5 linked regions of the Sus scrofa genome follow. The main gene of each other region encodes a partner of the protein of the gene in region 3 in a complex. Links are inferred from orthologs where the notes say so. Each region holds a gene or a part of one and is shown on either strand. Other genes may lie near its edges.

Region 1 (4,466 bases), on a different chromosome or scaffold from region 3:
ACTGAGAGGCTATGAAGGCAGAGGCTATTTAGGAAACCTGTATTTGCAGGTTCATCTGGGCTGGTTTAAAGGCAGTCCTGCCTTCAGAGAGAAGAAAGAGCTCTAGGGGTCCTGTGAACTGATTTACTATGCTTTGGAGAGCTACCTCGTCCTCCTCTGGCTTGAGATCTCTAGGACTTGCAAAGGTGGAAGACAGGAGTTACCTAAGATACGGCTCCTGAAAATTCCTACCTTCTTTCCCAGAGGCTGACTCCTTCGAGGTGGAGACAGATCAGAATCAGAAGATCGGGCCCGCTGTTTCCTCCTTGGTGGGGAGAGGTCAGAATCAGAGCTCTGGTGCCGAGGTCTATTCCGTGGGGGTGACAGATCGGAATCCGAATCCCGGGGCCCTGAACTTTGTTTATGTCGAGGAGGAGAAAGATCTGAATCAGAGGCTCTCCTATGGTCACTTGGGTAGGAAGAAGAGTCCAACATGTGACTGTGATGCTTCCTGGGTGATGAGCCTGTATGACATTTCCTATGTCTGGGGGAAGAGCCTAAAAATTAAAGAATATAGGCTTTAAGTCAGGCTAATGTTCAGCATTCATTTAGTCCTCCTGTGACAAACGATCACTAACCTAAATACAAGTACAAATGACATGGGAGAGAAAATCGAAATCAGAGACAACTTTTAAAACCAACAGGCAGGATGTGGGATTCTAGTCTCAAGTTATAATGACTGTGACTGGCATGTAATATCTCAACATACTCCTCTGTGCCATATTTATCCACACAGAGTGAGCAAAACAAACTGCACTCAGGTCTCAGCAGCATGGTAAAAGTTAAAATGGCCTAGAATATATTCTGATGTCCTCAGACTAAAGGATAACAATGTATCTGAATTTAAAAATTAAAACAGGGGAGTTCCCACTGTGGCTCAGTGGTAATGAACCCAACTAGTATCCATAAGGACATGGGTTTGATCCCTGGCCTCGCACAGTAGGTTAAGGATCCGACATTGCTGTAAGCTGTGGTATAGGTTGCAGATGTGACTTAGATCTGGTGTTGCTGTGGCTCTGGCATAGGCTGGTAGCTGCAGCTCCGATTCGACCCCTTGCCTGGGAACTTCCATATGCCACACATGTGACCCTAAAAAGCAAAAAAAATAAAATTAAAACAGTGCCTTGGGACAAAAGAGTAAACAAATCTCACTGCACAGGCCTGAGTTGTAGACATCACAAATCACCCCCAAAGAGTTCCTGCAGTGGTGCAGTAGGTTAAGAATCCCACTGCAACAGCTCAGGTTGCTGTGGAGGCACGAGTTCAATCCCTGGCCTGACACAGTGGGTTAAAGGATTCAGTGTTGCCATGCCACAGCTGCAGAGTAGTTCACAGCTGTGGCTTGGATTCAATCCCTGGCCTGGGAACTTCCACATGTCTTGGGTGCAGCCATTAAAAAAACAAAAGCAAGGAGTTCCCGTCATGGCGCAGGGGTTAATGAATCCAACTAGGAACCATGAGGTTGCGGGTTCGATCCCTGGCCTTGCTCAGTGGGTTAAGGATCCTGCGTTGCCGTGAGCTGTGGTGTGGGTCACAGACGCAGCTCGGATCCCGCATTGTTGTGGCTCTGGCATAGGCCAGTGGCTACAGCTCCGATTTGACCCCTAGCCTGGGAACCTCCATATGCTGCGGGAGTGGCTCAAGAAATGGCAAAAAGACAAAAAAAAAAAAAAAAAAAAAAAAGAAAGAAAAGAAAACAAAAGCAAAAAACTACAAATCACCTCCCCCAAAAAGCAATCTGCAACAGGTGTCAACAGTCCTAAAAGCATAGGACCCTGACCCTCTGACCCAGTAAATCAATTTCTACTTAATTTCTAAGGAAACATATTTGGAAGTACTTTGATTTCCAGGAGATCAATCTAGAAGTATTATTAAGGAAATAATCCAGAACAGGGCAATAGTTTATGCATAAGGATGTTGATTATAGAATTATAGAAGAAAAGGTGCAGAAACAACCTCAAATATGCAGTATTAAGGAAATGGTAAATTTATGTAACAGAATACCAACAAAAATTATATTAATGAGATATTTTATGACATGAGGAAGATAATGTTAAGGGAAAAAAAAAAAACAGACAAGATTACACATGCAATATGTATTTACTGCCTAGACAGACCTCGACCACATAAAAAATGAATAGAAAAAAAACAAAAAAAACTAAAAGAACACAGATTACAACACTAGCAGTGACTGCCTCTGAATGACAGAATTTTGTATGACCTTTTTCTACTTCTTTATACATTTCTATACATTCTGCAATGAATATGCAGTATTCTTATATGGGGTGGGGAGAATAAACAAAAGAATATATAAAACCCTCCTCTCTGCTACTATAAATTTTTAACTCTCCTCAGCCCAACCTCTCATGATTTCCCTCCAGTTTTGTTCGGTTTTTTTTGTTTGTTTGTTTTGTCTCTTGGCCTTTTCTAGGGCCACTTCCGCAGCACATGGAGGTTCCCAGACTAGGGGTCTAATTGGAGCTATAGCCGCTGGCCTATACTACAGCCACAGCAACTCGGGATCCGAGCCATGTCTGTGGCCTACACCACAGCTCACGGCAATGCTGGATCGTTAACCCACTGAGCAAGGGCGGGGATCGAACCCGCAACCTCATGGTTCCTAGTTGGATTCGTTAACCACTGTGCCACGACAGGAACTCCTCCCTCCAGTTTTTAAAACTTCTCCAATGCTCCATTCTCATTTCTAAAGATCACAAATACCTAAAAAGGAACTAAAAGGCCCAAAAGAAAGTGCCTAGGGAGTTAAGTCCTTCCTATGGACAGTCAAATGCTCACCTTTAGAGTCATGTTGCTTATTTCCAGAATGGGATTTTGCTTGCTTTTTTCGTGGAGGAGAGAGGTCTGAATCACACTCCTGCTTGCTGTTCTTTGGGAGTGATGGATGAGATGGTCCTGGCCCCTTCCAATGGGGAGAAGCTTGGCTAGACGCTCTTTCTGGGGCTGTACTGCTTTTGGTTCTGGGCAGTGAATGAGGGACACTAGAAGCCAAGTCAGGGGAATCATGACGGGCCCTCCTCAGCTGCGATGTGTCCATGGAATCAAGAGTCCTTCTAGGTTGAACTGTGTCAGGGGAGCGATTACGGGCCCTTCTGGGAGGAGAGATATCTGAGGAACTGCGGTGGGCTCTCCTAGGAGGTGATGGATCTGGTGTATCATGACGGGCTCTCCTAGGAGGTGATGGATCTGGTGTATCATGACGGGCTCTCCTAGGAGGTGATGGATCTGGTGTGTCATGACGGGCTCTCCTAGGAGGTGATGGATCTGGTGTATCATGACGGGCTCTCCTAGGAGGTGACGGATCTGGTGTGTCATGACGGGCTCTCCTAGGAGGTGATGGATCTGGTGTGTCATGGTGGACCTTCCTAGGAGGTGATGGATCTGGGGAATCATGACGAGCCCTTCTAGGAGGCGATGAATCTGGAGTGTCATGGCGGACCTTCCCCGGAGGTGATGAATCTGGGGTGTCATGACGAGCCCTCCTAGGAGGTGATGCATCTGGGGTGTCACGACGGAAATGTCTGTGTGAGGGCAGATCTTCATTGTGGCCTAAACACAAAGAGCAAAGAGTCAGAATCCCACAGATGCTCTGTTCACCCCCAGGAACCATAGTTTCAAAAGATGCCCCAGGAGGATACATCTGAAAACTACTCAGAAAGCCCAAAAGGTCTGTACAACTCTTACTTGGGGCAGTAAGACAGCACTCATGAATATCCTAAGAATAATCTCTCATATTTGCCTAACAAGTCATCAGTCTGTAAAGCATTTTAAATATTTTTCATGTTATATTTTGTTAGGTAAGCAAGGCAATTATCCTTGCTTAACAGACCTGAAAACAGAGACTCTAAGGGGCTAAGTGATTTCTTACCTGGGGTCACAGCTACGAAGAGAAAAGATAGGCTTGAACTCCAGTCCTCTAACTCTTAATCCAATGCTCTTCCACAAAACTGATTTGTACAGAGCTCCCCACTAGAGGCTCTTATTGATATTTAGCCTAGATAATTCATAGTGTGTACCCACTCTTCTTTCAAGAGGCAAATTGACTAAATCTGTGACACATCAAAGTGAAATGCTGTTACCTACTGAATCCATGCCATTGTGCTCCTTATTAGAAGCGGGAGAACACCAGAAAGTAAGAAGGATCAGGGAGTCTCCCGGTGGCTCAGTAGGGTAAGGATCCAGCACTGTCACTGCTGTGGCTCGGGTCTAATCCCTGACCAGGAAACCTTTGCATGCTGCAGGTATAGCCTCCCAAAAAAGAAGGATCAGCATTTACTGATCACCTACTGCACACCCATGTTTTATATAGGTTATCCCATTTACTTCTCATAATAAGCCTAGGAGATAAATATTGTTATCCCAATTTTATAGATGAAGTTGATACTTAGAAAGATGGAGTAATTTGCAAA
Region 2 (4,466 bases), on a different chromosome or scaffold from region 3:
GTTTTTCATAGTAGTTGTACCAATTTACATTCCCATCTGCAGTGAAGGAGGGTACACTTTTTTTTTCTCTACACCCTCTCCAGCATTTGTTATTTGTAGACTTGTTAATGATGGCCATTCTTACTGGTGTGAGTTGGTACCTATTGTAGTTTTGATTTGCATTTCTCTAATAATTAGTGATGTTGAGCACTTTTTCATATGCCTGTTGGCCATCTATATGTTTTCTTTGAAGAAATGTCTATTTAGGTCTTTTGCCCATTTTTCAATTGGGTTCATGTTTATTTTGTTGTTGTTGTTGAGTTGCAAGGAGATATTTTATAATAAGGGAAGAAAAAAATTTTGGTTTAGAAGCCTATTTAACATTCTGGGGGAAAAATCTTGTGACTAGTTATATTAACTCTGATAACTTCAGTTACACCTAGTTTCAGACATTGATTAATTCTTTTAATTTTTTTCCAGCATATTATGACAATACCATATTTCATAGAGTTGTACCTGGTTTTATAGTCCAAGGGGGAGATCCTACTGGCACAGGGACTGGTGGAGAGTCTATTTATGGGGCTCCATTCAAGGTGAGAGTGAATTTTTATTATTATTTATTTTTAAGTCAGCCTGGGTTGCTTAATTGAAAATGATTATGCCACACAAGAAGAAAATGCATTTCATGTTCGTGCACAAAATCAATTTTATCACATATTTAAGATTATATAGTATAAGAGGGGGACTTACCCCATCAAGCATTCTTTCTAAGTTTTCTTATCACAACCTTTTACCCTAGATTAAATTCAGGTGGAGTTAAAGGTGGTAGCGAATAAAATATGTCAGACAAAAGACCATATAACATATTTCCTGATATTTGACTGTATCTGATCTCTGTAGCTCTGTATATATATATTTTTTAGAACATTGCACATGCCATCCTTTTTTTATTTTTATTTTTTTGGTTCTTAAGGCCACACCTGCAGCATATGGAGGTTCCCAGGCTAGAGGTCACATTGGAGCTGTGGCCGCAGGCCTACGCTATTGCCATAGCAATTCCAGATCCAAGCTGCACCTGCAACCTACACCACAGCTCACAGCAACACTGGATCCTTAACCTACTGAGCGAGGTCAGGGATTGAACCCTCATCCTCATGGATACTAGTTGGATTCATTTCCACTGTACCATGATGGGAACTGCCATGCCATACTATTTTAAAACATTTTATTTAACACCATATTATCTGCTTGAAATGCTATAACAGAGTACCTCTGACTGGGTGGCTTAACCAATAGGAATTTATTTCTCACAGTTCTGGAGGCTTGGGAGGTCCAAGATCAAGGTGCTGGCATTCAGTTCCTGTGAAGATTCTCTTCTTGGCTTGCAAATGGCTGCCTTGCTGTGTCTCAAACGGTGAAGGGAGAGATTTCTGCTGACTCTTCCTCTTCCTATAAGGGCAGCAGCCCTAATGGATTAGGACTTCACCCTTAGGAAGTCACTTAACCTTTTTCATCTCCTTACAGGCTCTATCGCCAGTTCAGTCATATTGGGAGTTAGAGCTTCAACATAGGAATTTTGTGGGGGACACAATTTAGACCATAGCTGAATTCATTCTAAATTGTACATGGTACATCTTTGTAGCACAACATTTCTTTCATAGCAAGAGATCACAAGGAAAACAGAAGGAAGAAACAACATAGAAAATATTAGAAAAGAGTGTGAGAGATAATCAAGAATAGGCCAGTGCTTTGTTAACTGCCAACATAGATCTAGAAAGAAAAAGAATTAATGTCATAGTTAAGATATTAAGATTAAGAGTGAGTTCAAGTAAAAGCTAAAGCTAGGTTATTTTTTAATCTGATGGCAGTGGTATTATCTGAATGAATAAACATCAGTACCTCATAAAATATGTGAAATTTTGAAAACTTCACATTGATACTAATGGGATAGAGTATCTGGAGTTTCCTTTAATTTTATACTGGGTTGCTTTATGACTCTTGAAAACTACTTGAACTGTTTGCTTTAATTTTCATATGATAGTGGCATGAAAAATATAGGAAATGCTTTTTTAAAAAAAGTCCTAAATGTTACTGTTAGAGTATTCTGTATTTTACAAAATTGAGATTTCTCATTATAGAGCCTCCATACAGTAGGAAACATTCTTTTATTTTGTTGTTTGGTGTGACAGAATAGCTCTTTGTGACAGTTCCTTTCTAAATTGATATTTTTTTGCTTGTTATGATTAGGTAATAAAGTTATCTTTGTAAATTTTTCAATAAGTTTATTTTTTTTGGTCTTTTGAGGGCCACGCCATGACATATGGAAGTTCCCAGGCTGGGGGTTGAATTGGAGCTGCAGCTGCTAGCCTAAGCCATAGCAATGCGGGATCTGAGCTGTGTCTCTGGTCTACACCACAGCTCAAGGCATCTCCGGATCCCACCGAGCAGGGCCAGGGGTTGAACCCACATCCTCATGAATACTAATTGGATTCGTTACTGCTTAGCCACAACGGGAACTCCCCAATAAGTTCCTTTTTAATAGAATGTACAAGAGTTAAGACCCTTTGAATTCAGATCTCTTGAGAAGAATTTATGAAGGAAAAGAACTTCTCTTCTGAAAAACATTGATTACATAACATGGCTGTATTAGACATGAGTCTAGTATGAGATCTTGATAGAAATGTTATTAACTAAGAGACTAATATGTAGCATTATAGCAAGAAAACCACCTTAGAATGACTTGCTTCTGCTGTTTTGTAAACTGACAAATGGAAACCTGTGCCAATTCAAAGATTCAACTTAGAATTTTCAAACACAGTAAAATGCGTAACACAACCATGCTGGATTCCTTGAGTGAGAAAAGTAAGAAAACAATTGTTTCATGACATTTAGATCAAGGTTAGGAAGGGAATAGTTGAAGACTCTGCAGTGACTCAAAACTAGTTATTCTGGAGAGAAATAGAAGGTTCTGAAAGCTTAGATGACTTTGAGGGATGGCAGAATAGGGGAGTGAGTCTTAGTAATCCATTCCCTTTCAGTAAAGAGGAAGCTTTCTTCAAAATAGGCTAAATTTGTGGCTGAGTATATTTAGAAGATACTTACAAGCTAGTGAAGTCAAGTTTGATAGAACTGAAGGAACTGTAGATATTAGATTTTGTTATATATGAAAATCAGTTAACTTAAACATTTGTGATTAAAAGTTGTATGGGACTTTGCTTGTTAGCTGAATATGAAGGGTCTTATAACCAAGATCATTCACTAAATCTTTTTTTGTTCTTTTTTTTTTTTTTAAATGCTTCAGGATGAATTCCACTCACGGTTGCGTTTTAATCGGAGAGGACTGGTTGCCATGGCAAATGCTGGTCCTCATGATAACGGCAGCCAGTTTTTCTTTACATTGGGTCGAGCAGATGAACTTAACAATAAGCATACCATCTTTGGAAAGGTTTGTGTCCAGTTATCTCAGGCTTCTATGATATATATGATCAACTTATCTAAAGTTGCCTTCATAAATATATTCCCTGAGATATTTATTTATTATTTCTAAAAATGATGGAATGCTATGTATTTCTGTTGTGTGTTTTAAGTCATTCGTTTTAACTTTGAATTTTTCTTTTTTTCTAAAATCATATTAATGGTATTATGAGCTCCTATGTCACTCATCTGATACTATTTTTACATTTTTAGAAACACACCTAGGTAATAACATTTAGTAGTTAAAGTTTTATTTTGTTAATGATGGATTCCCAGTGGAGGTTATGTTAACTTTAAAAGTTTTTACCTGGACTATTACTTTGAATAGTACCCTATTTAGTCCTTTTCACATTTAACATCATATCAGAGAATGTCATTTCCATAGAATTTTCAGTAGCTTTCTTTAAGAGGGATTCTGAAGATTTTATTTTCCTCCTTCTTCATAAATATATTCCCACATGTTTAAGTCGCAGGCATGCAGACATCATTAGTGTATTGGCTCCCTCTACTGGTTCAATAAAAATGGTTTCACTTTGTCCTAGGCAGCTGGATTTTATGATGGAAAAGGGAAAAAAACAAACTTAGCACAACTGGAAAAACTGATATTATTTTAGAACTTTTGAGAAATGTTAAAGGAGTCATGCCACAAACATTTAATACAATCCTGTTGCATAATACTTAACAACATGAATAAAGAAATATATACTAGCACGTGTAAGTGACTCCAACACAGGTTGTCTGATGTTCACAGATTTTCCTTTTATTTAAAAAAATAAATATATAATAAAATGAGATTAGATTGCATTCTGCACCATTGTTTACAGCTGATGTTACATAATTCACACATTAGAGACAAAGTATAGCATGGTGGTTAGAAGTCAGAAAGGCCGTCACTGTAAACTCTATAACTTCTTTGAACCTCAAGTTTCTTAGCTGGAGAAGGAAGATAATGATAGTACCTACTTTTAGAATGTTCATGAGGGTTAAATGAGATATAATTTCTGCAAAGCATT
Region 3 (4,466 bases):
AAAGTAATTCTCCAAGATGCAGAGCAGAGAAGCACGTAGAGATAAGGGGCAGGAGCTGAGGGGCTTTGGGCGAAAGTGAGGAGAGGGGGACAAGGCCAGCAGAGGGTGAGGGAGATGTGGGGATCAGCAGGGTGTAACATGCAAAGTTTCCAAAAAGATGGAGTTCCCATCGTGGCTCAGTGGTTAACGAATCCAACTAGGAACCATGAGGTTGCGGGTTCAATCCCTGGCCTTGCTCAGTGGGTTAAGGAGCCGGTGTTGCTGTGAGCTCTGGCAGAAGCAGAAGCAGCTCGGATCCCGCGTTGCTGTGGCTCTGGCATAAGCTGGCGGCTACAGCTCTGATTAGACCCCCCAGCCTGGGAATTTCCATATGCTGCAGGTGCGGCTCTAAAAAGACAAAAAAAAAAAAAAAAAAAAAAAGTTTCCAAAAAGACAGGAAGGGAGTTCGGGGTTTTTTCAGAGGTGGGGCTGGGGGTGTCAGGGTCCTGCTGCACCTTCCCCACTGTCACATTCATTTTCACCTTCACACGTTACTTCCCAAAACAGCCTCCCATGAGTCTCTGCTTCTATTCCTAGCCCTGGTTACATGGCATCCGGAACAGTCCTTTCAAAACATGAGCCTATTGTGCCGATCCCCACATCCTTCAGGGGCTTCCCTCCCCACCTGAGAATCACATCTAAGCCCCTTCAGGCCTGGAACCTTCCAGGCCCTGGCTACTCTTCCAATCTCAGCTTCTGGCACCAGGGCTCCATGCTCCCCCCCACCTCACCCACTGCTGAGCGCAGTCCTCCGAACAAGCTCTCTTCCCTCTGCTGGGCTCGCTCTTCTCCCAGATATCAGCCTGGCTCCCTCCCTTCACCTGGTTCAGGCCCGGCTTCAACTCTCACCTTATCAGAGGGAGAGGCCTGACCTACACCCTAAGGGCATTACCGTCCTGCCATTCCTCCCCCACTGCCCCAGAGCCAGCCTCCAGCTTCCCATGACACAGTGAATCTCTCCAGAGCATTTGTCACAAATTGACATTAGGTATTTAAGTGTCCATGTCTCCTAACTTGCATTAGATTAAACCCTCTGAGGCTAGCGACTCTGCTTTGTCCATCACTGTTTCCTCATCCCCTAGAACAGCACCTGGAACGTGGGAGAAATTCTTTAAATATTTGTTGAATGAAAGTTACATTTTTTTCTCAAAATCCTCTGATGGCCACTCACTGGTATAAAGTCCATCAAAGGCCCTCTCTACCCTCTGTCCAGAGCTGTTTTTAGCCTGTCTCCCACTGCTTCCCGTGTCAACCTCCCATGAGCCTGCCAGACCACTCCGACCTCACACACACCTGAGGTCCTCCTCTGATGTTCCTCGCCACTTTCCCGAAAGGTCCAGATGGAATCCCAGCTCCCCGCACACCAGGGGCCTCCTTGCTCCGCTGCACCCCACCACGCTCGCTTTCCGGATCGTGCATTCGGCCATCTCCCGGTTTCAGTCATAGTCCCCCTCCAGCTCCTGCGGCAGAGGACTGCCTGCCACCGGGCCTCGCAGCGGCAGCAGAGCCCAGGACACGCCTTGCACGGGGCAGGCACCTACTTCCCTTTCCACTACTAGTTGCGTGAGGCAGAGGGGTGAAGAACACGGCTTTCTCCAACTGACCTTTCGGGCCCCGGGGGGCGTGGGCTGGAAGATCCGAGCCTGCATGTCGGAAGGCAGGTTGGCATAAATGGGCAGCACCAGGAGCTCCCGGATTTTGGAGCCCAGGCGGCGGCAGCGATCCTGGAGCATCTCGCAGGCAGCCTCGATCTCCTCCTGGATTTGGGGTGGGGAATACAAGGGGTCCCAGAGTCACGGGAGGCCGACCAGCCAGCCTGGTCTCCCTGTGGGTACACACAGCGAGCCCCTCCCCCACGTCACACACCTGTCCTGTCAGGAACACCAGGATATCCCCAGGGGGCTGGGTCACATGGATCTGTAGCACCGACACCACGCAGGCCTCCAGGTAGTCTGCCTCTGGGGCCTGGGGAGGAGGAGGCGGGGTCACAGGAAGGCCACCTGCTGAGACAAAGCTCTTCCCCTCCTCCCAGCTCAAGAAACACTTTATCCCAGGTCCCCTTGGGGTTCCCATCCCACCCCCCACCCCCCCACCCGCCTTGAAGCGTAGACGCATTCTCCCCGAGGGGCACCTTGGTATAGAAGATGTCAACTGGAAACCTGCGTCCAGGGATTCGGAAGACGGGGGCATCATCAAAAAAGGTAGAAAAGCGGGCAGTGTCCAGTGTGGCTGAAGCCACCAGGACCTTGAGCTCAGGTCGGAATCGAGCGACATCCTTGATCAATCCAAAAAGAATGTCTGTGTGCAGAGTCCGTTCATGGGCCTCATCCACCATCACCACGCTGGGGAAGAAACGGGGGCAGCAGTGAGCGAGGGGCGCTGGGCAACGCGGGTGTGACACTGGGGTCCCCAGACGAGAGGAACAGATGGAAGCAAAGGGCCAGGGCAAATGTGGGAGGAGGGGGCTCCAAGCAGAAGCCAATTATCCCACTTAAGCCAGACCAACAGAAAGTTAGAGAAGCCCAGGCCCCCGTGGTCTTCTCCGTGTCCCAGCCTGGGCAGACAGCAGCCGCCAAGATCTGGAGGCTGGAAGCCAAGGCCAGGACAAGTCAGACATCTGGTCTGGATTAGACTCAAGAGTCTCTTAAAGTCAGCAGACAGAAAGTTATCTGTCTTTATGGTTTATTTGCTTTTTGTTTTTTAGGGCCACAACCACGGGATGTGGAAGTTCCCAGGCTAGGGGTCCAATTGGAGCTACAGCTGCTGGCCTACACCACAGCCACAGAAAAGCAGGATCTGAGCTGTATCTGTGACCTACACCATAGCTCACAGTAACGCCATATCCCTGACCCACTGAGCGAGGCCAGGGATCAAACCCGCAACCTCATGGATACTAGTCAGATTCATTTCCACTGCACCACAACGGAAATTCCCAAAGGCATCTAGAAATTTAAAGGAGAAAAAACAGTAAGGCAAAGCCTCTTTGAATAAGGCTAGGCTCCCAGGCTGGCTGGGAAGGAACACTTAGACCTGAGCCACCACGATCTGAGCAGCCCACAAGTTCCCAGGATCCTGTGGGGCAGCTACTGTGCATCCCTGTGGGCCCTGCTGCCTCTTTCTGGAGAGAGGGGGGCCAGGTAAGCCCTCCCACCCCAGCCTTAGAGGGCTCTGCAGGCTTCTTGGTCTCTGTGTAACTTAGCTCTGCATGGGCTACCATCCTTCTCCTTGCCTCTAGTCTTTGGATTTCCTGCCAAGGCCACAGGAGCTCACCCCCAACCTCAACCATCGTGTCTAACCCCGACAGTGACAGTCAAGTCCTCAGCCATTTCACAAAGCAGCCTGGCTTGATGGGAAAAGCCCACACCCCGAACACTCTCGCCACGGCGGGCCCTCCATGGCTTCTCAGAGGTTTCTACAAGGGATATGAAGGACCAAATCATGTCTGTCCCCCTGCTCCACCAGGATCCTCCAGGACCAGAAATCCCCAGGCTCCTAAGAGCTAAAAAGGCACATAGTGCTTTTGCTGGCCTGACCCCAACCCCACCCCATCTGTGAATCGCTTCTCCCCCACAACACATGCTCATCCAACCCCACCCTGGCCAAGGGTAGCACTGAGAACTCCTTATTCACAGACCAAGCCACTCCAGACGTGGGCCTGAGGCACAAGGGTTGGGGCTGGGCCACTCCGAGAGTCCCTGCAATCTCTGCCACTCTATGGACCCTTTCCCATGGAACAGCCCTTCACACATTTACAGGGACCCAGAGCATCTGAGTTTTCCCGTCTAAGCTGAACATTCTAAGTTTCTGCAAGTGGTCCTCACGTGGAGTCTCAAGCTCCCACAACACCGCTCTACCATCCTGGTGGTTTTCTGAACTCTGAGAACAGTTGGGGAGGGTGGGAAAGGCTCTCTGGCAGCCTCTCTGCCCTCCGGTCCCATCTCAGTGCTAGGACAGTTTGAACCATAAAGATTTAAGAACAGGTGGAGTTTCCTGATGGCTCAGTGGGTTAAGGATCTCGTGTTGTCACTGCTGTGGCTCAGGTCATTGCTGTGCTGTAGGTTCAACTGCTGGCCCAGAAACTTCCACATGCCATGGACTCAGCCAAAAAAAAAAAAAAAAAGAACTGGTGGATAGGAGTTCCCGCTGTGGTGCAGCGGGTTAAGGATCTGACATTGTCTCTGCGGCAGCACAGGTTCGATTCCTGGTGCAGCACAGTGGGTTAAAGATCCAGTGTTGCCACAGCTATGGCACAAGTCACAGTTGCAGCTCAGATTCGATCCCTGACCTGGGAATTTACACATACCATGCGGGCAGCCATAAAAACCAAAACAACCAAAAAACCATAAGAACTGGTAGATAAATCAGAAGAGAAGACAGTGGCCAAAGTGGCCAGGTGGGAAGAAAGTAATGAAAAGCCAGAAATTTAA
Region 4 (4,960 bases), on a different chromosome or scaffold from region 3:
GTACATCTGTTAGAGGGTCATCTGCGTCGAGGTTGGCGGCAGGAATCTGGTCTAACCGAGGCTTCTTTGACACCGAGGAGGAGGTTGTATGTTCTACGGGAAAACAAACATCATTTAGCTTACTGAATCAAATCCTGCATTTCTTATGATATTTTAGGGGCCTGTGGGCACAAAGAGCTTAAGTCTTAGGCATGAAAGTAAGGATTATAACCACAGTGCCTGGCAAATAAGCCCTTGGCAAATATGTGTTGAATAAATTAATAGAAGTATTGATTTTAATATGGGAACTGTAGCCTTGCTCAGGAAATTCAGAAAATAGTTTGCATTTGCTAGAAATAAAAATGGGAGAATTTTTCTTTTCTTTTCCTTTTTTAGGGCCATGCCTCTGGCATATGCAAGTTCCAGGGCCAGCGATCGAATTGGAACTACAGCTGCTGGCCTACACCACAGCCACAGCAATGGGAATCTGAGCCACACAGGGGATCTGAGCCACATCTGCGACCTACACAGGATCCTTAACCTACTCAGCAAGGCTAGGGATGAACCAGCATCCTCATGACACTGGGTTTTGAACCAGCCGAGCCACAATAGTTAACTCCATGGAGAATTTCATAGACAGAAACAATGGGGCCTCAAAAAGTCTGGCTGTGAAAATACCTTAATCCGAACTGAAACAATGGTTGCTAAATATTCCCAGATCACCTAGTTCTTTCCATATAGAAACATAAAAAGATGGAACTGGAATCAAATTCATTACCATCTCTAATCTAATCTAATCTAATCCAATCTAATCTATCCTAACCTAATCTGATCCAGTCTTTTAAGAAACTTAAAGTTCACACCAATATTTAAAAGCAAGCAAACAAAAACAGTAATCCATTCTAATTACCACGTGAAAGAAAAATTACTGTCAACACAATGTCATGAGAGACGTGTCCAGGGTGTAGGGTAGTCTAGGGGTCTAGGGAGTGTTGGTACCTCGGGTCGGCCTATCTCTATTTTTTTCTCTTGCAGCAGCTCTCTCTCTCTCTTCCAACTCTCTCCTGAAGTCGCGGTTCCGAACCTCTTCGGGGGCATCCTGAGTGGTCTGTCTAAAGCAGAAACAAACCAGGGCAAAAATACTTCTTAAAAACACACGGCTGTAGTCATAGAAGACAGCTTGTGAAAAGCAACTTTGTCCTGAGTTCCTGAAACATAAAGTCCCATTAGGGAAACTGGACAAGATCACTATCCTAATCTGAGGGTTACTAAGAGGCTCCTGTGATGTCTCTGATATTTCAAGAACCTCAAGCTAAATCACATACTTTCCCATAATAAGGGTGCAGGTTGATTAAAATGTCCTTACTTTTTGTAACTATGTCAACTCAGGGCTCTGTTACAATAATACTCTTAATCTCATATTGATTAGTGCTGATAGTGCACGTCCCTCTGAGATAATGTATCAGCTATTGCTCCATCTACTTATGGAAATTCCCAGTTAATTGCAATTTCTGCTTAAGGAATATCTTGTAGCATTTTACAATCATAGCGCATGATTTTAGTGTTATAAACACTAATGCATTCTACTCCTATGAAAATAGATTACTAAGTGATAATAACGTAAACACTATTATCTTATGACCATACCATTTAACAGATTTGGTCTTCCTTTGTGAAACAAAAAAAAAAATAAAAGGCTTCATTACCTATATTTTATCTTCGTATGAGAGGGTAGGTCTCTACTTGAATATTGCTTGGAGAGTTGGCTCAAATCACCTTCTCCTTTTCCTCTCCCACCTCTTGCAGGTTCAAAAGTTGGCCTAGCTGCCGTCGTCATTTTTTATGCTTTGAAGAAAAAGTGCCAAGTTACTTTCAACATAACAAACTATCATTTTATAAAGTATTAATCAATATCCATCCTTGGGAAAAAATTTCCCTAACTTATTCCCCAAAACTTATTTAAAATGATCTCAAAAGTTCTCATGAAAACAAACAGTGAAGCTCAGGGTGTAGCGGGAATATGCAGATATTTAGTACAAAAAGTTCTGTCATGAAGATCTGAGACTGTGTTCCTGTTCTCCTTCTGGCTCTGTGGCCTTGGACAAGCCAACTAGCTTAAGTTTCCGTCATCTGTAAAATGGGGACTATTCCTCATGGGATTATCATGAAATTAAGAGACTTGACATGTCAAAGCCCTTGCAAAAATACAGTACTGCCGTGTCTCAGTTTTTAAAAAAATCTCAACTCAACCTTACTCCACCAGACTCCTTAAGGTTCCCATTTTATCTAAACCTCACACTGCAGAAAAGAGGCTAGCAGCTACAAAAACAGAGAAGATATCTAAAAAAACAAATCATTGACAGATACTGAAGGTCCTGAAGAAGTGTGCTCAACTTCGACGACAGTTACATTGGCAAAGCTCCCCAACAATCTTTTGTTGTTTCAATTTTATCCTACAGCAGCCAATATAATATAAATCATAACTTTTGCAAGTTACAATTTAAGGGATGCTCAAAACACAGGAACCCACCCCCACGGGACTCTGGTAACTACAAATCAGGGACTCCTTCCTTATGTTACTTCTGCTTTTAAGCAACTAAAAAACACTGCACAGCCGATGTGGCTACTAAAACCTCCCTCAAGCGTCGGAAAAGCAAGTGTCTGGGGCAGCTGGCATACTTCTCTAGATTTTCAAAAAAGGGAGAGGAATATATCCAGTGGGGGTGAAACTGGGTTCCGGGCCGCTGGGGGCGCCGCCGCCTCCCACACACCATCGTTATTTACACTCTGGGTTCTGGGGAGTTCACCTTCGGGTTGTCATCGGAAAGCCCGGCGATTCTTCACCCGTGCCAGATTTGGCGAGGGGCTGGGGGCGCCCAGACCCGCTTAACGCAGCCTGTAGAGCTACCTTCACGCTACGCTCTCCGCGGCCGGCCCGGGACTGGCCGTCCCCAGTCCAACAGGCGCTGGGCTCCGCAACCCGCTGCCGCTCCGGAAAACTCCTCTGCCTGCAGTCGGTTCTCCGCGTCCGCCCCCAACTGTCCTCCCCCCCCCCCCCCCCAGTCTGCTTTCCCCCAGCAGCTCACGTTGGCCGAGGTCCGAACGCACCAGCCTCCGGAGATCATTCAGAAACCACTTAGATTCTCGGCTCCCAGAAACCCCTGCGCCCAGGGCCAAAGCCCAAGACCCGGAAGCAAACCCTAACCTCTTCAGGGGCGGAGGCAGGGACCAATCGGCAGAGGCCAAGGGAGAAGTCGGCGTGACGACAGCAAGAGGCGGGGCTTAAACAGCCCAGGGGGCGGGCGTTTGAAATCGGTGCTTTGAGTAGACCCTAAACATCATTTTATACCTTCGAGAACCAATTACTTAATGTCTCTCCCGTCTTTTCCTTTCCCGACCCCCTCCCAGACGCCTTCATTCCGGTACTGCGTGGACGGAAAGCCCCGGGTAGCCGACACCACGTCCCCGGCTACCGAGAGAGAAGGAGAGAGAGCGTAGAAAAGGATTATACCAAACGGTTTAAATCCAACGGCTCCTGCTTGCTTAATCTTTGAGCTAGACCCAGCAAGCCTAGAGAGTTGGGCTACGGAAAGACTAGTATTTTCTTTTAATTGGATATGAAGAAAGAACAAATATGTACGGGGGCAACCACGATCTTTATAAAGGTACCATTCCTGCAAAAAATGTTAGTCTTCAAAGCAAAGGTTGTATTCGTATTGACTGTTAAAATTGTAATTTTTTTTAAAGCCTAAGTTCTAGCGGGAGGGGAGATGTCACTATTAGAGATTCATTCATTAACCGACATTGAACGTTTAGAACGGTGGGCCCAACTGCCAGGAGCCCTAGATGCAATTATAAGATGGCTACTCATGCGTTAGGTGAAGTTTTAATAAGGCAACGAACAGGAAAGGGAAAAAAATCACCAATTGTCCTTCTTACACCTCCAAAAGCACTGTGGGAGCAGGGATCTTGTTTGGTCAGTTTAACGTGGTTATCGTGATATCTAATCACATAGTCTTTGGCTCAATAGATACTTAAACAAATGAAAATCCAACTCCCTTAGCTTAGTTTCAAATGTAAAGAGCTCATTAAAATTGAACATAAAAAAGCTTTTTCCCCCCCTCAGAATTCTTTCTTTGAACTCTAAAATGAACAAAACAAAAGGGTAGAAAAACTCCCTTCCCTGTAAATTTCAAGATGCAAGTCTTGATTTTTCTAGGAAGGTATTACTCCCCCAGTCTTAGACATCTCAGTAAAGGACACTACCTACCATCATACTAGTTACTTGAACCCAAATCCCAGGGTTTCCTCTTAGATTCCTTTTCCTTCACTTGTCTCATCCAACTTATTTGCAAGTCTTACCAATTCTACTTTCAAAATATACCCTAAATTTCATTCCCACTGCTACTACCCTAGTCCAAGCCACCATCATTTTCCGCCTGGAGTGTAACTGTCTCCTTTGTCTTATAGTCAGTTTTGCATCTAGCAGTGAGAGTGATCTTTTAAAATAGTGAGTCAGGTAGTGTCACTCTCTTGCATAAAAATCTGCATTAAAAACCAATTTTTTTCCTTCTTTTTTTTGGCCGGCTCTTACTGCAAGTGGAAGTTCCTGGGCCAGGGATTGAATTCCCACCACAGCAGTGACCTGCTACAGTGACTACACCAGATCCTTAATCTGCTGCTCCAAGTTTCAAATGTCTGTCTTTCTTTCTTTTCTTTCTTTCTTTCTTTCTTTCTTTCTTTCTTTCTTTCTTTCTTTCTTTCTTTCTTTCTTTCTTTCTCTCTCTCTCTCTTTCTTTCTTTCTTTCTCTCTCTCTCTCTCTCTCTCTCTCTCTCTTTCTTTCTTTCTTTCTTTCTTTTTTACCTTTTGTCTTTTTAGGGCTGCACCCTTGGCATATGGAGGTTCCCAGGCTAGGGGTCCAATCAGAGCTACAGCTGCCGCCGGCCAACGCCAGAGCCCTGTCTTCAACCTACACCACAG
Region 5 (5,217 bases), on a different chromosome or scaffold from region 3:
GAGAATAGGGGCTGGGGCAGTTAGAAGGGCACTGAAAGAGCTAGGAGGCATGTGACAGTGACTCAGTATAGCACTTCAGGTAGACGAGATGTATTTTATAGATACCACAGCAGCACAATTATCAGGAATTGGTGACTGGATAGATATCTTTGGGTGAGGAACTTGGAAGACTGAAGCATGACATCCCTGTTTTTGAAGCCAGGTAACCAGGAAAATGGTGATAACGTTGCCTGAAATAGGGAAGTCAGGAGGGAAAGCTGTTTTGGGATGTAGTGGTGGGGAGTGGAGAGATGAATTCGGCTAGACATATTCAGCCTTTCCATAAACGTGGGGACTGCCTTCAATTTCCTTAGCATTACCCATAGAACCTGGAAATGAGCTCTGCATACAATGAGTGGTAAATGAATGTTATTGGTGGAGAAAGGAATAGAAGCTGGGAGAGCTGAAATCTGTCCCAGTTTGCCTGGGACATCTCCATGGATAAACTTCCAATGGGTAAGAATTGCTAGGAACTCTGATGACCGAGGCCTAGGTATTGCTCCAATTCTCTCATTTCACAATAGCCTGAAGAATCCATCCAGATAATGCTGCATGCTAGTTTACCACTTTGCAGTGACTACTTCAACCCTACAACTAAGCAACCTAAGGTTTCTAGGAGCAGATAAAACCTGTATGCAATCTGTCACTGTTTAGTTTTCATTGCCAAGGTAATTCTACAAAGTTAATGAATAGCTGGGTTGGAAGTGGGGGAGGGGGACAGACACAAAAACTGTCATTGGTGGGCAGCCTGTTCTGCTTCTTGGGAAGACATTGGGTACATGGTGAACCATTGAGGGTACAGTTGTCACTGTCACCATCATCAAAGTGCTTTTAATTTCTGGGGCTGTGAGCTAGGCCTACACAGAGAACTATACAGCCCCATAATTTGACTTTGACATAATTTGCATGGTCTAAGGCCAGAATTGATGTGGACACATGCAAGATGGATTTGAATCTTCAGAATGGCTTAATTCACACATTACATGCCATCATCTCTTCTACAGGTTCCTGATTATTTCTGGAGTCAAATCTATCAAGCCCTGTCTCCTCAATGATATTATTAGCTCTTTGAAGGCAGAGAACCCAACCTTACATTCCCATCTGCAGACTTACTGTATAGGACAAATACAGATGCTCAGTAAGGACCGATAAATCAAGTGGATCTGATGGATAGAGACAGAGTACCATCCAAGTTATTTAACTCCTTTAAACTCAGTTTCTGCTACGAAACGGGGAGGATAATTGTATCTAAGCCTTCACAGGAGGGCCAATACATGTAAATTGCTTAGCACACAATCTATCATTACCTGCTCAACTGTTAGTTATTAATTTAACAATACCAATTCCTACCTCCTGCTTGAGTAGCAGACAGACTATGGAAAACGGTTAGCAGCATTCACACAAATCTGGGTATTCAATTCAGCCTATGGAGGCACAGTGGTCAGTTGCCTATGCGGTGCGATTTGAGACAAAAAGATTTACCCTCTCACACAGCTTTTTCACATTTCTGCTGTAACTCCTGAACAGGGATGCTTTCATGGCGGTGTGCGTGTGAGTAATTGGCTGGGAGTTAAGGACAGAATGAGGATTTGCACTGGAAGAGAAGGATGGGACTCAAGTCGCCGTTATCAGGCACCTCTCAAAGTCTTCCTTCAAAAAACATTTATAGTTAACCCAATAAATGCCAGGCATCGTTTAGGAGTTCGGAGTCCTGTAACAAACCAGGCTCGCACCCTCGTCCAACTCCAAGCACGGTGGAAGCGAGGGTCTACAGAAAAAGAGCGACATCGGCGGAACAAGAGAAGCCGCTTACTGACGTAGTGCGCAGGCGCCACGCCCCAGCGCGGCCCGGCTCTTCCGGCGCGGCGTAAGCGCGCAGCTGAGACCAATGGGCGCGCAGCGCCGGGTCGCGCATGCGTCTTGCAGCCTCTCCCGGAAGTCGCTTCCTAGGTGCTGAGGGCGAACCCGCGGAGATGAAGTAAGGCCTCAGGTTCCTTTTGGGAAAAGGGGACAGGCGGCCGGGGGTAGTTCACTGAAGCTGGAGTGGTAGAGCACTTGTGAGGCTGAGGAGCGGGGGAGGCGCAGATACTAGAAAATTAGTCTCCCAGTTTTGCTCTCCTTTACCTCAGGCTAGGCCGCGCTTACTTGTCCGCTTTTCCGCCCCTTGTGCAGCCCTTTAACTAAAGTGAAGCTGATCAACGAGCTGAATGAGCGTGAGGTCCAGCTGGGGGTGGCGGAGAAGGTGTCTTGGCACTCCGAGTACAAGGACAGCGCCTGGATCTTCCTAGGTGAGGCCCACATCTTTCTCCCGCAGGGCTTCTCATTCTCTCCTGGCCTGCCTCCTAACATTTCAGCATTCCCGCCCATCATTCCTCCCGACATTCATCACCCACTTTTATTTACTTCCACTGTCGGCCTATAAATCCGTTTTCCAGGTCGCTTTTCTAGCTCATTTCTAGTTTGCTCTCGCTGCCAAATCAGCGTTCATGATAGGTACTGCCTGCCATTCAGTGTGCTAAGAATCGTGCCGTTTGGTTTCTCAGAGACTGTTATTATCATCCTCTTGTCCTCTAGTTATACACCTAAGGAAACTGAGATGCAGAAAAGTTAATGGACTTCCTTCAGGTCGCATAGCTAGCAAGTGGAACAGCAAGAACTGTGGGGTTTGAGAACTCCTGGTATCAGCCACTATCCGGTATTACTGCCAACTCCCTCTCCCTTCATTACCCTTCACGCAGAATTTATTTCCCCGTCCATGGCCACATCATCATTTCCATATTCACTGTGTCACATTCTGTAATTTGACAGTTTATTCGAAGAGATTATTACAACAGACATTGTGCTAGGCACTTTATAGCCATTGTTTTATTTTCATTCTTATTACAATTCTGTGAGGTAAGTGCCAATATCCCCATTTTACAGATGAAGAAGGAAACATTCGTAGGGGAATTTATTTCCTATGAAATCCTTAACAATTGTGAGGTGGGGTTAATATTTTTTTTTTCCCACTGTACAGCAAGGGGATCAGGTTATCCTTACATGTATACATTACAATTACATTTTTCCCCCACCCTTTCTTCTTTTGCAACATGAGTATCTAGACAAAGTTCTCAATGCTATTCAGCAGGATCTCCTTGTAAATCTATTCTAAGTTGTGTCTGATCAGCCCAAGCTCCCGATCCCTCCCACTCCCTCCCCCTCCCATCAGGCAGTCACAAGTCTCTTCTCCAAGTCCATGGTTTTCTTTTCTGAGGAGATGTTCATTTGTGCTGGATATTAGATTCCAGTTATGAGTGATATCATATGGTATTTGTCTTTGTCTTTCTGGCTCATTTCACTCAGTATGAGATTCTCTAGTTCCATCCATGTTGCTGCAAATGGCGTTATGTCGTTCTTTTTTATGGCTGAGTAGTATTCCATTGTATTCCATAGTATTCCACATCTTCCAAATCCAATCATCTGTCGATGGACATTTGGGTTGTTTCCATGTCCTGGCTATTGTGAATAGTGCTGCAATGAACATGTGGGTGCACGTGTCTCTTTTAAGTAGAGTTTTGTCCGGATAGATGCCCAAGAGTGGGATTGCGGGGTCATATGGAAGGTCTGTGTATAGATTTCTAAGGTATCTCCAAACTGTTCTCCATAGTGGCTGTACCAGTTTACATTCCCACCAACAGTGCAGGAGGGTTCCCTTTTCTCCACAGCCCCTCCAGCACTTGTTCTTTGTGGATTTATTAATGATGGCCATTCTGACTGGTGTGAGGTGATATCTCATGGTAGTTTTGATTTGCATTTCTCTTATAATCAGCGATGTTGAGCATTTTTTCATGTGTTTGTTGGCCATCTGGATATCTTTGGAGAAATGTCTATTCAGGTCTTTTGCCCATTTTTCCATTGCTTGATTGGCTTTTTTGCTGTTGGGTTGTATAAGTTGTTTATATATTCTAGAGATTAAGCCCTTGTCGGTTGCATCATTTGAAACTATTTTCTCCCATTCTGAAAGTTGTCTTTTTGTTTTCTTTTGGGTTTCCTTTGCTGTGCAAAAGCTTTTCAGTTTGATTAGTTCCCATTGGTAAATTTTTGCTCTTATTTCTATTGCTTTGGGAGACTGACCTGAGAAAATATTCATGATGTTGATGTCAGAGAGTGTTTTGCCTATGTTTTCTTCTAGGAGTTTGATGGTGTCCTGTCTTACATTTAAGTCTTTCAGCCATTTGGAGTTTATTTTTGTGCATGGTGTGAGGGTGTGTTCTAGTTTCATTGCTTTGCATGCAGCTGTCCAGGTTTCCCAGCAATGCTTGCTGAATAGACTTTCTTTTCCCCATTTTATGTTCTTGCCTCCCTTGTCAAAGATTAATTGACCATAGGTGTCAGGGTTTATTTCCGGGTTCTCTATTCTGTTCCATTGGTCTGTCTGTCTGTTTTGATACCAGTAGCACACTGTTTTGATGACTGTGGCTTTGTAGTATTTCTTGAAGTCTGGGAGAGTTATGCCTCCTGCTTGGTTTTTGTTTCTCCAGGATTGCTTTGGCGATTCTGGGTCTTTTGTTGTTCCATATAAATGTTTGGATTGTTTGTTCTAGTTCTGTGAACAATGTCATGGGTAATTTGATAGGGATTGCATTGAATGTGTAGATTGCTTTGGGTAGTCTGGCCATTTTTACAATATTGATTTTCCCAATCCAGGAACATGGAATATCTTTCCATTTCTTTACATCTTCTTTGATTTCTTTGATTAAAGTTTTATAGTTCTCGGCATATAGGTCCTTTACCTCCTTGGTCAGGTGTATTCTGAGGTATTTGATTTTGTGAGGTACAATTTTAAAAGGTATCGTATTTTTGTATTCCTTTTCTAAAATTTCATTGCTGGTATACAGAAATGCAACTGACTTCTGAATGTTAATCTTATCTCCTGCTACTTTGCTGAATTGATTAATCAGTTCAAGTAGTTTTGGGGTTGAGTCCTTAGGGTTTTCTAGGTATAGTATCATGTCATCTGCATACAGTGACAGTTTGATCTCTTCTCTTCCTATATGGATGCCTTTTATTTCTTTTGTTTGTCTAATTGCTGTGGCTAGGACTTCCAAAACTATGTTGAAGAGCAGTGGTGAGAGTGGGCATCCCTGTCTTGTTCCAGATTTGAGTGAGAAGGCTTTCAATTTTTCCCCATTGAGTATT

Evidence for each region.
Region 1: DHX16 (region 3) and BUD13 share a complex: the UniProt entries of both Homo sapiens proteins name them as parts of the minor spliceosome. The link is inferred for Sus scrofa from reciprocal best matches to the Homo sapiens genes DHX16 and BUD13.
Region 2: DHX16 (region 3) and CWC27 share a complex: the UniProt entries of both Homo sapiens proteins name them as parts of the minor spliceosome. The link is inferred for Sus scrofa from reciprocal best matches to the Homo sapiens genes DHX16 and CWC27.
Region 4: DHX16 (region 3) and CWC15 share a complex: the UniProt entries of both Homo sapiens proteins name them as parts of the minor spliceosome. The link is inferred for Sus scrofa from reciprocal best matches to the Homo sapiens genes DHX16 and CWC15.
Region 5: DHX16 (region 3) and RBMX2 share a complex: the UniProt entries of both Homo sapiens proteins name them as parts of the minor spliceosome. The link is inferred for Sus scrofa from reciprocal best matches to the Homo sapiens genes DHX16 and RBMX2.

What each region holds. Positions count from the first base shown.
Region 1 is NC_010451.4:44,147,836-44,152,301, forward strand, and holds part of BUD13 (BUD13 homolog), read right to left. Parts: intron 3,607-4,466; coding exon 2,836-3,606; intron 537-2,835; coding exon 232-536; intron 1-231. UniProt on the Homo sapiens protein: Involved in pre-mRNA splicing as component of the activated spliceosome. As a component of the minor spliceosome, involved in the splicing of U12-type introns in pre-mRNAs.
Region 2 is NC_010458.4:43,362,966-43,367,431, forward strand, and holds part of CWC27 (peptidyl-prolyl cis-trans isomerase CWC27 homolog), read left to right. Parts: intron 1-459; coding exon 460-572; intron 573-3,280; coding exon 3,281-3,424; intron 3,425-4,466. UniProt on the Homo sapiens protein: As part of the spliceosome, plays a role in pre-mRNA splicing. Probable inactive PPIase with no peptidyl-prolyl cis-trans isomerase activity. As a component of the minor spliceosome, involved in the splicing of U12-type introns in pre-mRNAs.
Region 3 is NC_010449.5:23,194,041-23,198,506, forward strand, and holds part of DHX16 (putative pre-mRNA-splicing factor ATP-dependent RNA helicase DHX16), read right to left. Parts: intron 2,382-4,466; coding exon 2,171-2,381; intron 2,005-2,170; coding exon 1,906-2,004; intron 1,797-1,905; coding exon 1,644-1,796; intron 1-1,643. UniProt on the Homo sapiens protein: Required for pre-mRNA splicing as a component of the spliceosome. Contributes to pre-mRNA splicing after spliceosome formation and prior to the first transesterification reaction.
Region 4 is NC_010451.4:27,044,072-27,049,031, forward strand, and holds the start of CWC15 (spliceosome-associated protein CWC15 homolog), read right to left. Parts: upstream 3,210-4,960; 5' UTR 3,066-3,209; intron 3,035-3,065; exon of another isoform or gene 2,787-3,034; intron 1,825-2,786; 5' UTR 1,817-1,824; coding exon 1,686-1,816; intron 1,092-1,685; coding exon 979-1,091; intron 94-978; coding exon 5-93; intron 1-4. UniProt on the Homo sapiens protein: Involved in pre-mRNA splicing as component of the spliceosome. Component of the PRP19-CDC5L complex that forms an integral part of the spliceosome and is required for activating pre-mRNA splicing.
Region 5 is NC_010461.5:106,878,935-106,884,151, forward strand, and holds the start of RBMX2 (RNA binding motif protein, X-linked 2), read left to right. Parts: upstream 1-1,977; 5' UTR 1,978-2,012; coding exon 2,013-2,017; intron 2,018-2,211; coding exon 2,212-2,327; intron 2,328-5,217. UniProt on the Homo sapiens protein: Involved in pre-mRNA splicing as component of the activated spliceosome. As a component of the minor spliceosome, involved in the splicing of U12-type introns in pre-mRNAs.